2 linked regions of the Danio rerio genome follow. The protein of the gene in region 1 interacts with the protein of each later gene in a pairwise test. Links are inferred from orthologs where the notes say so. Each region holds a gene or a part of one and is shown in the gene's direction. Other genes may lie near its edges.

Region 1 (4,632 bases):
TGATGGTCACATGACCTTCATGCATTTTAAAGGAAAATTATTTAAACATTACAGCATTAATACAATGATTTGTTTTTTCCCTTTTAAATATATATAACATGCACAAAACCTTACAAATGTATTTTGCACAATACAAATAAAACCGGTTTTAATATAAAATTTAGCTAATATACATCCTTAATTTGTTTATAACTTTATTAAGAGTTTCATGGTAATGTTTACTTTCACTGTGTCATTTGAGAAAACTTCTGAGATAAATAAATTATATTTCGGAACTTTAATAATAAACATGTATAGAATTCTGTGCTTCCCACCTTCTTTATTCAGGATCAGCTGCAATGACTTCTGGGACTTCTCGGGGGAGTTTTGTGTTCAAGTCAGTGCATCCTCGATATTAAGAAGATATGCGGGAACTCTCACGCATCCTCTGTTCTTGCGGTCTTGGGTTTTAGAACTGAACTTTGGCAGCTGATGTTGGCATTACATGAGAACATAAAGACACAAAACCGGTGAAGAAAGCATATTAAGAAACAACCACCGTCTTCATGAATGAGTGATAGAATTACTGACTTGCTCTGTTTGTTTAAAAACAGGTTCATTCAGGATTAAAACACCACAGTGGTAGTGTTTGGTAGTTGTTCTGCTCTTACTTTGTTTGGGTTTTAAAAAAAACTCATATACAATATGTAAACCCGCTCAGTTTTAACTTCCAGTTTGTTAAACTGCGGAATAAAATCAAAACAACATATGCGATGATGCTCGCTGATATTGGAGAAAACCACACTTTGTGCATGTAATGACTTTTGTATTACCAACACAATCTCACTGCGATTCGAATCACTGATTGATTTAGTGGCTAATTTGTGTGAATATTTACGACCTCATTCGTATAATTTAGTACGATTTGCTCATCTCCAGTGACGGTTGGTTTGTGTTGGGTGTGGCGGCATGCCTCATTTTTAAAATGTGAATTAGCCAGTAAACTGACAAAGCAAAAAATAGTTACTTTCCTTTGTGAGATCAGGCTGGTATTACATGTCTTAACATATTACAAAAAGCAAAACCAATACACTACTTTTTGCTTTCATAACTCATATTATAGTGCCATTTTTATAGACTTCATCATACAGTCAATCCTTTCAAGATGTGTTTGTGTGTTTGTCAGCTCACACATTATTAGAGCCGCAATTACCATAATTATTGTATTCCATAAATATCACACACCCTAATTTCAGTTAATAATTTACAACTATTATTTAGCCAAAGTGCTTTATACATTGTCAGTTCACCAATATTTACACCTGCACAGACTTATAAACATTATAAAGTGTTAGGAGTGACTACAGCATTTAAATACTGAAGTGAATCCCTAAATTACACCATACTGAAACCACAGCAATTATCTGGCATCTCAAGCCTTTGGTATCTGATATTTTTTAACAAAAGTAATATTACATAAACCAAATATTCATTTTGATTTGTAGTTTTAACCAATTTATTGTCAACAGAAGCGTTATACTGTGTTAATGTTTAAGGTTTTACACAGTGTGCTCTTGAAGTGTTGCCATGTCCACTTATTATAAATGTCTTTGGGCTTACTGTTTAGGATACTCACATAAACAGAGTTGATGGAGTTTTGAAAGCAGGAAGGTGCAAGTTATGATACTTTGGTCTTGTCTTCAGAAGAAATCTTTTGTACCTAATTAAGTTTATTATTGTACTGTATTTTTCAAGCAATACCTGGCAACACAAACAAGTCAGGTCTAGTACCTCTTTTTCTGGGACTTTCTTGTATTGTGTGCATGCAAATGGGACACTCTGCTCTAATAAGTGTTTAAATGTAAGTAACAGTTCGTTGTTATGTGCCATACATACTGCATAGTTTCTTTCAGTGTGTTTGTCACAATGCGTTTGTCAGGAGTTAATTCAGTTACTGAATGCGGCTGTCACTCACATAAAATGCTGAACTATACAAACAGACTTGCGCATTAAACTTCAGATTCATTCAAAATTTTCTACATGGCAAAAATACAGCAGAGTTTATATACTAGAGTGAAGTGTAAAAGGGTGTTATTAGGTATTTGTCTGTCATCATCTCTAGTAAACTCGTCCTGCTGCAAGCTCCGGCATGTCACCTCATATCAGCAATGTGAGGAATTTCTCTTATTGTTTGTGTATGTTTGTTTCAACATGCACAATAGCTTCCACATAACCATTCTCTCATGAATTGGCAGTCTGTGCCATGGCTGTTTAAACGGTATTCTCAAAAACAAGGTGTGTGTGTGTGTGTGTGTGTGTGTGTGTGTGTGTGTGTGTGTGTGTGTGTGTGTGTGTGTGTGTGTGTGTGTGTGTGTGTGTGTGTGTGTGTGTGTGTGTGTGTGTGTGTGTGTGTGTGTGTGTGTGTGTGTGTGAGAGAGACTGTATTTGTAAGAGTGTGTGTGTGTGTTTTCCTCAGCCACATTTCTTTATCGTTAGGTTTTTAAATCAAATCATTCCTGATACTTTCGATTTACCAAAGTGCTGCATTTATTTAGGGTTAATTTCTTTTCCCTTTTTCTAGGCACTTGGAATGGCACGACTAAGGTAGCTATTAAGACCCTGAAGCCGGGCACCATGTCTCCCGAAGCCTTCCTGCAGGAGGCCCAGATCATGAAGAAGCTCCGGCATGATAAGCTCGTTCCGCTGTATGCTGTTGTGTCTGAAGAGCCAATTTACATTGTCACTGAATACATGGGCAAAGGTAGCTGACACTCTCTTTCTTTACTTTCTTCATGTGTGTTTATTTATCAGTTCAAGCAATGACACAGCAGCAACTTAATAATATGCAATAGTAATTTGACAAATTGATTTGAAACAGATGAAGTTTGAAACAGATGGCATAGATAGATAACTACATATAGGTTAGCATGTTTCTAGTTTGGATTGGCATGTTTCTTGCTAAGTGGTTTATGGGGTGTTCTTAGTAGTTGCTATAGTGCTGCTAAGTGGTTGCTAGAGTGTTCTAAATGGTTGCTAAGGCCTTGCTAGGGTGTTCTGAGGTGTTGCTAAGATTGTGCCAGGGTGTTCTATGTGGTTGCTAGGCTGTTGCTAAGGCATTGCTGTGGTGTTTTGACTGGTTGTTTAGACGTTGCTAGGCGGTTGCTAGGGTGTTCTGAGTAGTTGCTAGGCAGTTGCTTACATAAATTAGCATGGTTCTAGTATGAATTAGCATGTTGCTAGCATGTTTCTAGCATAAATTAGCATGTTGTTAGCATAGTTCTAATAATAATTAGCATGTTGCTAGCATGTTTCTAGTATGAACTAGCATGTTATTAGCATGAATTTAGTATGAGTCCAACCTTAAGTCACAAAGTTTGGTCCAATGTTAAGTCAGTGGGACTTGTCCAAATTTTCCAGGTCAGTTTTTGGAAAAACGAAAATTGGATCAGTTGAAAAAGATATAGCAACTTAATTCAGTATAGTTTGAAGGTTTGGAGTTGCGTTCCTAACAGTCTTAGAAAAAGAAGACGGAAGAAGAAGAATAAGTTTTGGTAGTATAACAGTATGTTGGCTTTCTCAATTCACCATAATAAAAAAGGGAAGGTTTTTTTAACGTTTTTTGCGTTTTGGAGACATGAAAACAAATTAAAATGGATATTAAGCTGCAAGATGTTCTAAAATTATTGTTTAATGTACTAAATTTATTGTCGCAAGAGTAATGTTAACACCATTACACAAATTATATATTTATTTTATAGATCATATGTTTAAATATAATATTTATGAATCCTACGTTTAGATAAAAAAAAAAAATTCTATTAAATGTGAAATAGTTAAAAAAATTGTTATTATTAAGAGGTGACATACTGCTTTGGTTCAAAAAGTTAAATTGTTTTCTGATATCTGCATGAGTAGGTATATGCCTTAGGTAAGTTCAAACCTTCTCCAGAAATGGTTTTAATTTATATACTCGTTTGTTACCCCCATAAAATGCACCACAATCAGAAAATCCTTATTGACCATATTAGGTTGGTCATGAATGTTAATGAACTCCGCTCTGATGCAGCTCACAGTACCTTTTTCTTTCTCTTTAATGTGTGCAAAATAATCATATTTAATGTTGTGTTTTAGCTACGAAAGGCTGTGCTACATTATATAGTTGGTTTTTAATTAATGTTGTAAATATCTTGTCTTTGTATCATTTAGGCATGGGCCGGTATAAGATTCTGACGGTGTGATAACCTTGGATAAAAATATTTCGATTTCATGGTATTACGGTATTGTGCTCACTGCTCTAAAATATCTTCTTTTTAAATGTCTGGGTAAAAAAACTAAAACTTTTTTCCCTTTAAAAAAAACTCAATATATTCTATTTTTCTTTTAGATTTATGATATTTTGGAGCAGTAAACACGTCAGGCTATATAATTCAAATAAATCATTGATGTTTTCATTTGTTTTAAAAACACAGATTTTTTTTTACAGTTTGAAACGGCATCTTTACATATTTTTTAAAAATAAACAAACCTAAAAAACAACAACAAAAAAAAATGTAAATAAAAAATCTTACATATACATTAGAAGCGTTATTACAGATTTTTCCAAACCACAGTATACCTTAAGAACGGTTATCGTCCCATGCCTAGTGTCATTTA
Region 2 (4,466 bases), on another chromosome or scaffold:
GATACAAATAAAATTGCAAAGGAGCTGAAGTTAACTGAATAGTAAAATATAGCTGTCAATTGGGTAGATTAAATCAACTAGTTATATTGTCATTGTAAATGTTTCAGTGTTGAAGTTGTGTTTTTATTTATTTTAATTATGTAACATATATATATTAGTTAATTTTATGTTATTAGTTACATTTGTATTATTTGTGGGGTGACGCGGTGGCTGGGTCAGTTGGCGTTTCTGTGTGGAGTTTGCATGTTCTCCCCGCATTCATGTGGGTTTCCTCCAGATGCTCTGGCTAAGTCCAAAGACATGCGGTACCGGTGAATTGAGAAAGCTAATTTGTGCGTAGTGTATGTGTGTGAATGAGAGTGTATGGGTATTTCCCAATGATGGGTTGCAGCTGGAAGGGCATCCGCTGCATAAAGCATATGCTGGATAAGTTGGCAGTTCATTCCGCTATGACGACCCCAGATTAATAAAGGGACTAAGCCAAAAAAAATAAATAAATGAATTATTCGGATGTCATGTTTAAATTGTATATTTGCTGTTGTTTAATAAAAAAAATAATAATAATAAAAAATAAATAAAATCATAGAATTTATGGCTTCATAATCTAAAGAAACTACTAAAAATATATTCATTCATTTTCTTTTCGTCTTAGTCAGAATATATATATATATATATATATATATATATATATATATATATATATATATATATATAATTATTATTATTAACATTTTTTTTTATATTCCATGGCTGTTAAGTTTATTTTGACCCTGCCTCTTTCTTTGATTTTTCAAAGTACAGCACATGGATCCAAATTCTTTAAGAACATACATTTACCCAGTGAATTTATTATTTATTTATTTAACCCTTTCATGCGCTACATGGGTCTAAAGTGACCCGTCTAAGTTTATTTTTTTACATTTTTCTATATCTATTTTATAGCTTGTGCATCAAAGGGTCAATAATACTTTATTGTACTGTACTGCATATGATGGTGTACTGTATTTATCCTTGTCTGTATTGCTGTAATGTTTCTCATAATAAAAATACTGTCTTTTTTAACTTCTTTCACTCTTTCTTCAACATCCCAAAAGTTGTATAGAATATGAAATATCTGTAAAAATATTAAAATTATTATTTGATGGTTGTTGTTATCAATGTTTTAATTATGTATACAACTATTATTAGTGTTTTAAATGTTTGAAAGCAGTAAATGTAAAAACTCTGTACACTTAAATTCTGCACAAAACGCACAAGAGTAACGTTAAAGAGAGAACGTTTTGTTAATTAATAATAAAAATACTCTCCATCCTATCTTCTATCATCCATTTTTGCTGTCATTGTTTTCTTTCTTTCTTTCTTTCTTTCTTTCTTTCTTTCTTTCTTTCAACACCCTGAAAGTTGTATAGGCTAGAATATGAAATATTTAGAAAATTATAAAAATTATTATTTAATGCTATTATTTATATTTTAATTATGTAAACAACTGTTATAGTGTTTAAAATGTTTGAAAGCAGTAAATGTAAAAACGCTGTGTTAAAATTATGGACAAAAAAAAACACAAAAGTAAAAAGACAGAGAGTTCTGTTATTTAAATATGCTAGGCGTCTTTGAGCTTTGAAAATCTTACAGACCTGAGCTTCCCCTTAGTAGTGGAGTATACACAGAAACATGTAAAATGCTTTCTGGTTCTGATGGTAGACAGTATTTTATATACTGAGATTGCACCATTACACTCTACGGACTTTGTGAAGTATTTAGTGAATACCACATATACGCAAATTTGGAATCGAAGAGTGATTATCGCACGCAAACTGCGCAGCATTTTACGTAAGAGCTTCCGCGGTTGCGAGCGTCGTGAACGCAGCCTCATAAAATGGCGGATCGCGGCGAAGGTAAATAAATTGGCTAACCAAACATTTGAATGAATAGTCTCGATTGGCAGCGTGTTTGTTTCACCGGATTTATCGCGTGCAACAAGATTCCGAGTGTTTACACCGTAGAAGAGCAGCATAGGTTTCGTTTATTTTGCCAGCAGCCGTTCAGTCTATACAGATACAACGCAGCTAAATTCAACCATACTGTTTTCATTCTCATTCGTCTTTCCATTCGCGTGCTGGTAAATTCATTGACACTTATTAATGCAAACAAATTAGTGTAATCACATCGTATTAATTTGAAATGTCAAAGGACGTGAACCTTAATGGTTGAAAATTCGTATATTCAGTGTTTACAAAGCTGGATCATGTTTGTCATCAGAGAACAAACATAGAATTACAGTATTCGTTTGTAACGACTGTGGTTAATGTTTTCACTTGTAGATGCAGAGAGTGAAGATGAATTGTATGAAGTGGTCAACATCACAGATTATGCCAGGAGGCATCAATGGTGGAGTCGAGTATTTGGTAACAGCACAGGTCCCATTGCAGAAAAATACTCTGTGGCTTCACAAATCATGATGGGTGGAGTGTCCGGATGGTTAGTGTTCATGTGAATGCTTTAATTTCTAATAAAACCCTTAATATTCCTGATTGTTATAAATAATAAAAAAATGTCCTTCTCTAGGTGTGCTGGATATCTCTTTCAGAGAGTTGGAAAGCTTGTGGCTACTGCTGTTGGAGGAGGATTTCTTTTGTTACAAGTATGAGTTCTTAAAATTAAGTTATGCTTTTAATTAGTATATGTTATGCTCAATGACATTTAATTTGTTAATCATCTATTTTCTTATTTCAGATTGCCAATCATAGTGGCTATGTGCAGGTGGACTGGAGGAAAGTGGAAAAGGATGTCAATAAAGCTAAAAAGCATTTGAAGAAAAATGCCAAAAAAGCTGCTCCTGAGCTCAATACCTTTATAGAAGATGTGGGTATACTTTCATATGCTTGTCATAATTTCATATACTATCTATTAGCTGTTATGACACTTCGCTTAACCTACATTTTGTTCTACAGTCTACAGAGTTTGTGAAGAGGAATATTGTTATCTCAGGAGGATTTGTTGGAGGATTTCTGCTAGGCCTGGCATCCTAAATGAAACCTGGATGTACTGTATTGCCTCTGATATGAGTACAGTAATATTGTCCCTTATCTTGGTATCACAGTGATACAGCACTGAAACATGTTGTTTGTTCAGAAGCAGTGAGTGCAATGGACATTTGCTGGACTTTTTTAATATGTTCCTCTACAATGTTATACAATAGCTAAAACATCCTGCAGGAGAGAGATATATTGTGCCAATAACTTTATAGAAAATTGTGGCTTTTATTTTGTTCATTTTATTTTAATTAGTGATAATGCATTCATTTGTTACATGTACAACTACTGAAGTGTTTCATATTGTATTTTGCTTTTGACGGTACATTATTTGAGGTAGATGTATCATTTCCCTAATATATTGTCAAAATGCATGAATTGTTTTGACGTAAAGATAAAAATAATGTTGTGGAAATAATAAAAAGTCTTTCTGGTTATGTATAGACTATTTGTACTTTTTGGTTTGTTTGTTTGTTCCTAAGTTCTAAAGTCGGCATTAAATCAGAATTAGCTTTTCTAGTTTTATATTTTTATAGTGCTTGTTATTAATGTGCACTTCATTATTTTGTAAAAAATAATTTGCCCTTATTATGTTTTATCCAACACTATAACCTTCTCTGCCCCCTCGAAATGACTTTTCTTTACTTTTGGTCATATGGATTGCCTTTAGGGCGGGACTATCAGGGCGTGTCTCATTTCTGTTCTATTTTGGGCAAAGTAGATGGGTTACAGCTGCGGGTATGCACATCAATATAGCATCATTTTTGTAAAACTTTATAACAGTAATTAATAGTAGACATTAATAAAATACCCTGTACAACTACTGTTTTCATGTTACTGTGACAGTAGGGGTAGATGTTAATGAAAAACAATAAATGGGAAATTTAATACATAATATAAATAATTCTTGTTTACTTCCGGCCACAACCGTATGTGATCTAGCAATAACCCTACTTTTGTCTACTTATCAGTCTTCCATCATTTTGTTAGCGATGCCTATCCTCCAATGATCCAATCAGTTCCTGAAGGTTTTTTTCTCATTTCAGAATCGTTTCAATTTGATATGAAAAACAGGACAATCTTAACATCTGTTTTATGGTGAATTTAAATGACAATATATTGTGTTTGGATGAATCTGAGTGTTTTACAGTGTTGCAAAAAACAACGACTTTAAAAAGTAAAAATAATAATAATAATGTATCTGTGTGGGTTAAGTTATTAAATGCTACCCTGCAGATTTTTACAGTGGTACATTTCTAAGAAAAAAAAAGGAAAGAAAAAAAGGCTGTTTAATCAACAGTCATAACTGAAAAAAGTTACATGACAAAAAAATGTCAAGGTGATTTTTTTACTTTAACTTATTTTAATAAGTAAATCAGGTTTCAACTAAAGTTATGCTGAATTATACGAAGTTTAACTTTATATTTTAAGTCA

What was found. The genes of interacting proteins can lie anywhere in the genome.
Region 2: the proteins of yes1 (region 1) and fundc1 interact in binary tests that used the Homo sapiens proteins (3 or more experiments, as listed by UniProt). The two-hybrid records come from large-scale screens. The link is inferred for Danio rerio from reciprocal best matches to the Homo sapiens genes YES1 and FUNDC1.

What each region holds. Positions count from the first base shown.
Region 1 is NC_133177.1:34,311,547-34,316,178, forward strand, and holds part of yes1 (tyrosine-protein kinase yes), read left to right. Parts: intron 1-2,560; coding exon 2,561-2,740; intron 2,741-4,632. UniProt on the Homo sapiens protein: Non-receptor protein tyrosine kinase that is involved in the regulation of cell growth and survival, apoptosis, cell-cell adhesion, cytoskeleton remodeling, and differentiation.
Region 2 is NC_133184.1:35,473,139-35,477,604, reverse strand, and holds fundc1 (FUN14 domain-containing protein 1), read left to right. Parts: upstream 1-1,836; 5' UTR 1,837-1,876; coding exon 1,877-1,895; intron 1,896-2,321; coding exon 2,322-2,478; intron 2,479-2,565; coding exon 2,566-2,641; intron 2,642-2,733; coding exon 2,734-2,862; intron 2,863-2,951; coding exon 2,952-3,029; 3' UTR 3,030-3,478; downstream 3,479-4,466. UniProt on the Homo sapiens protein: Integral mitochondrial outer-membrane protein that mediates the formation of mitochondria-associated endoplasmic reticulum membranes (MAMs).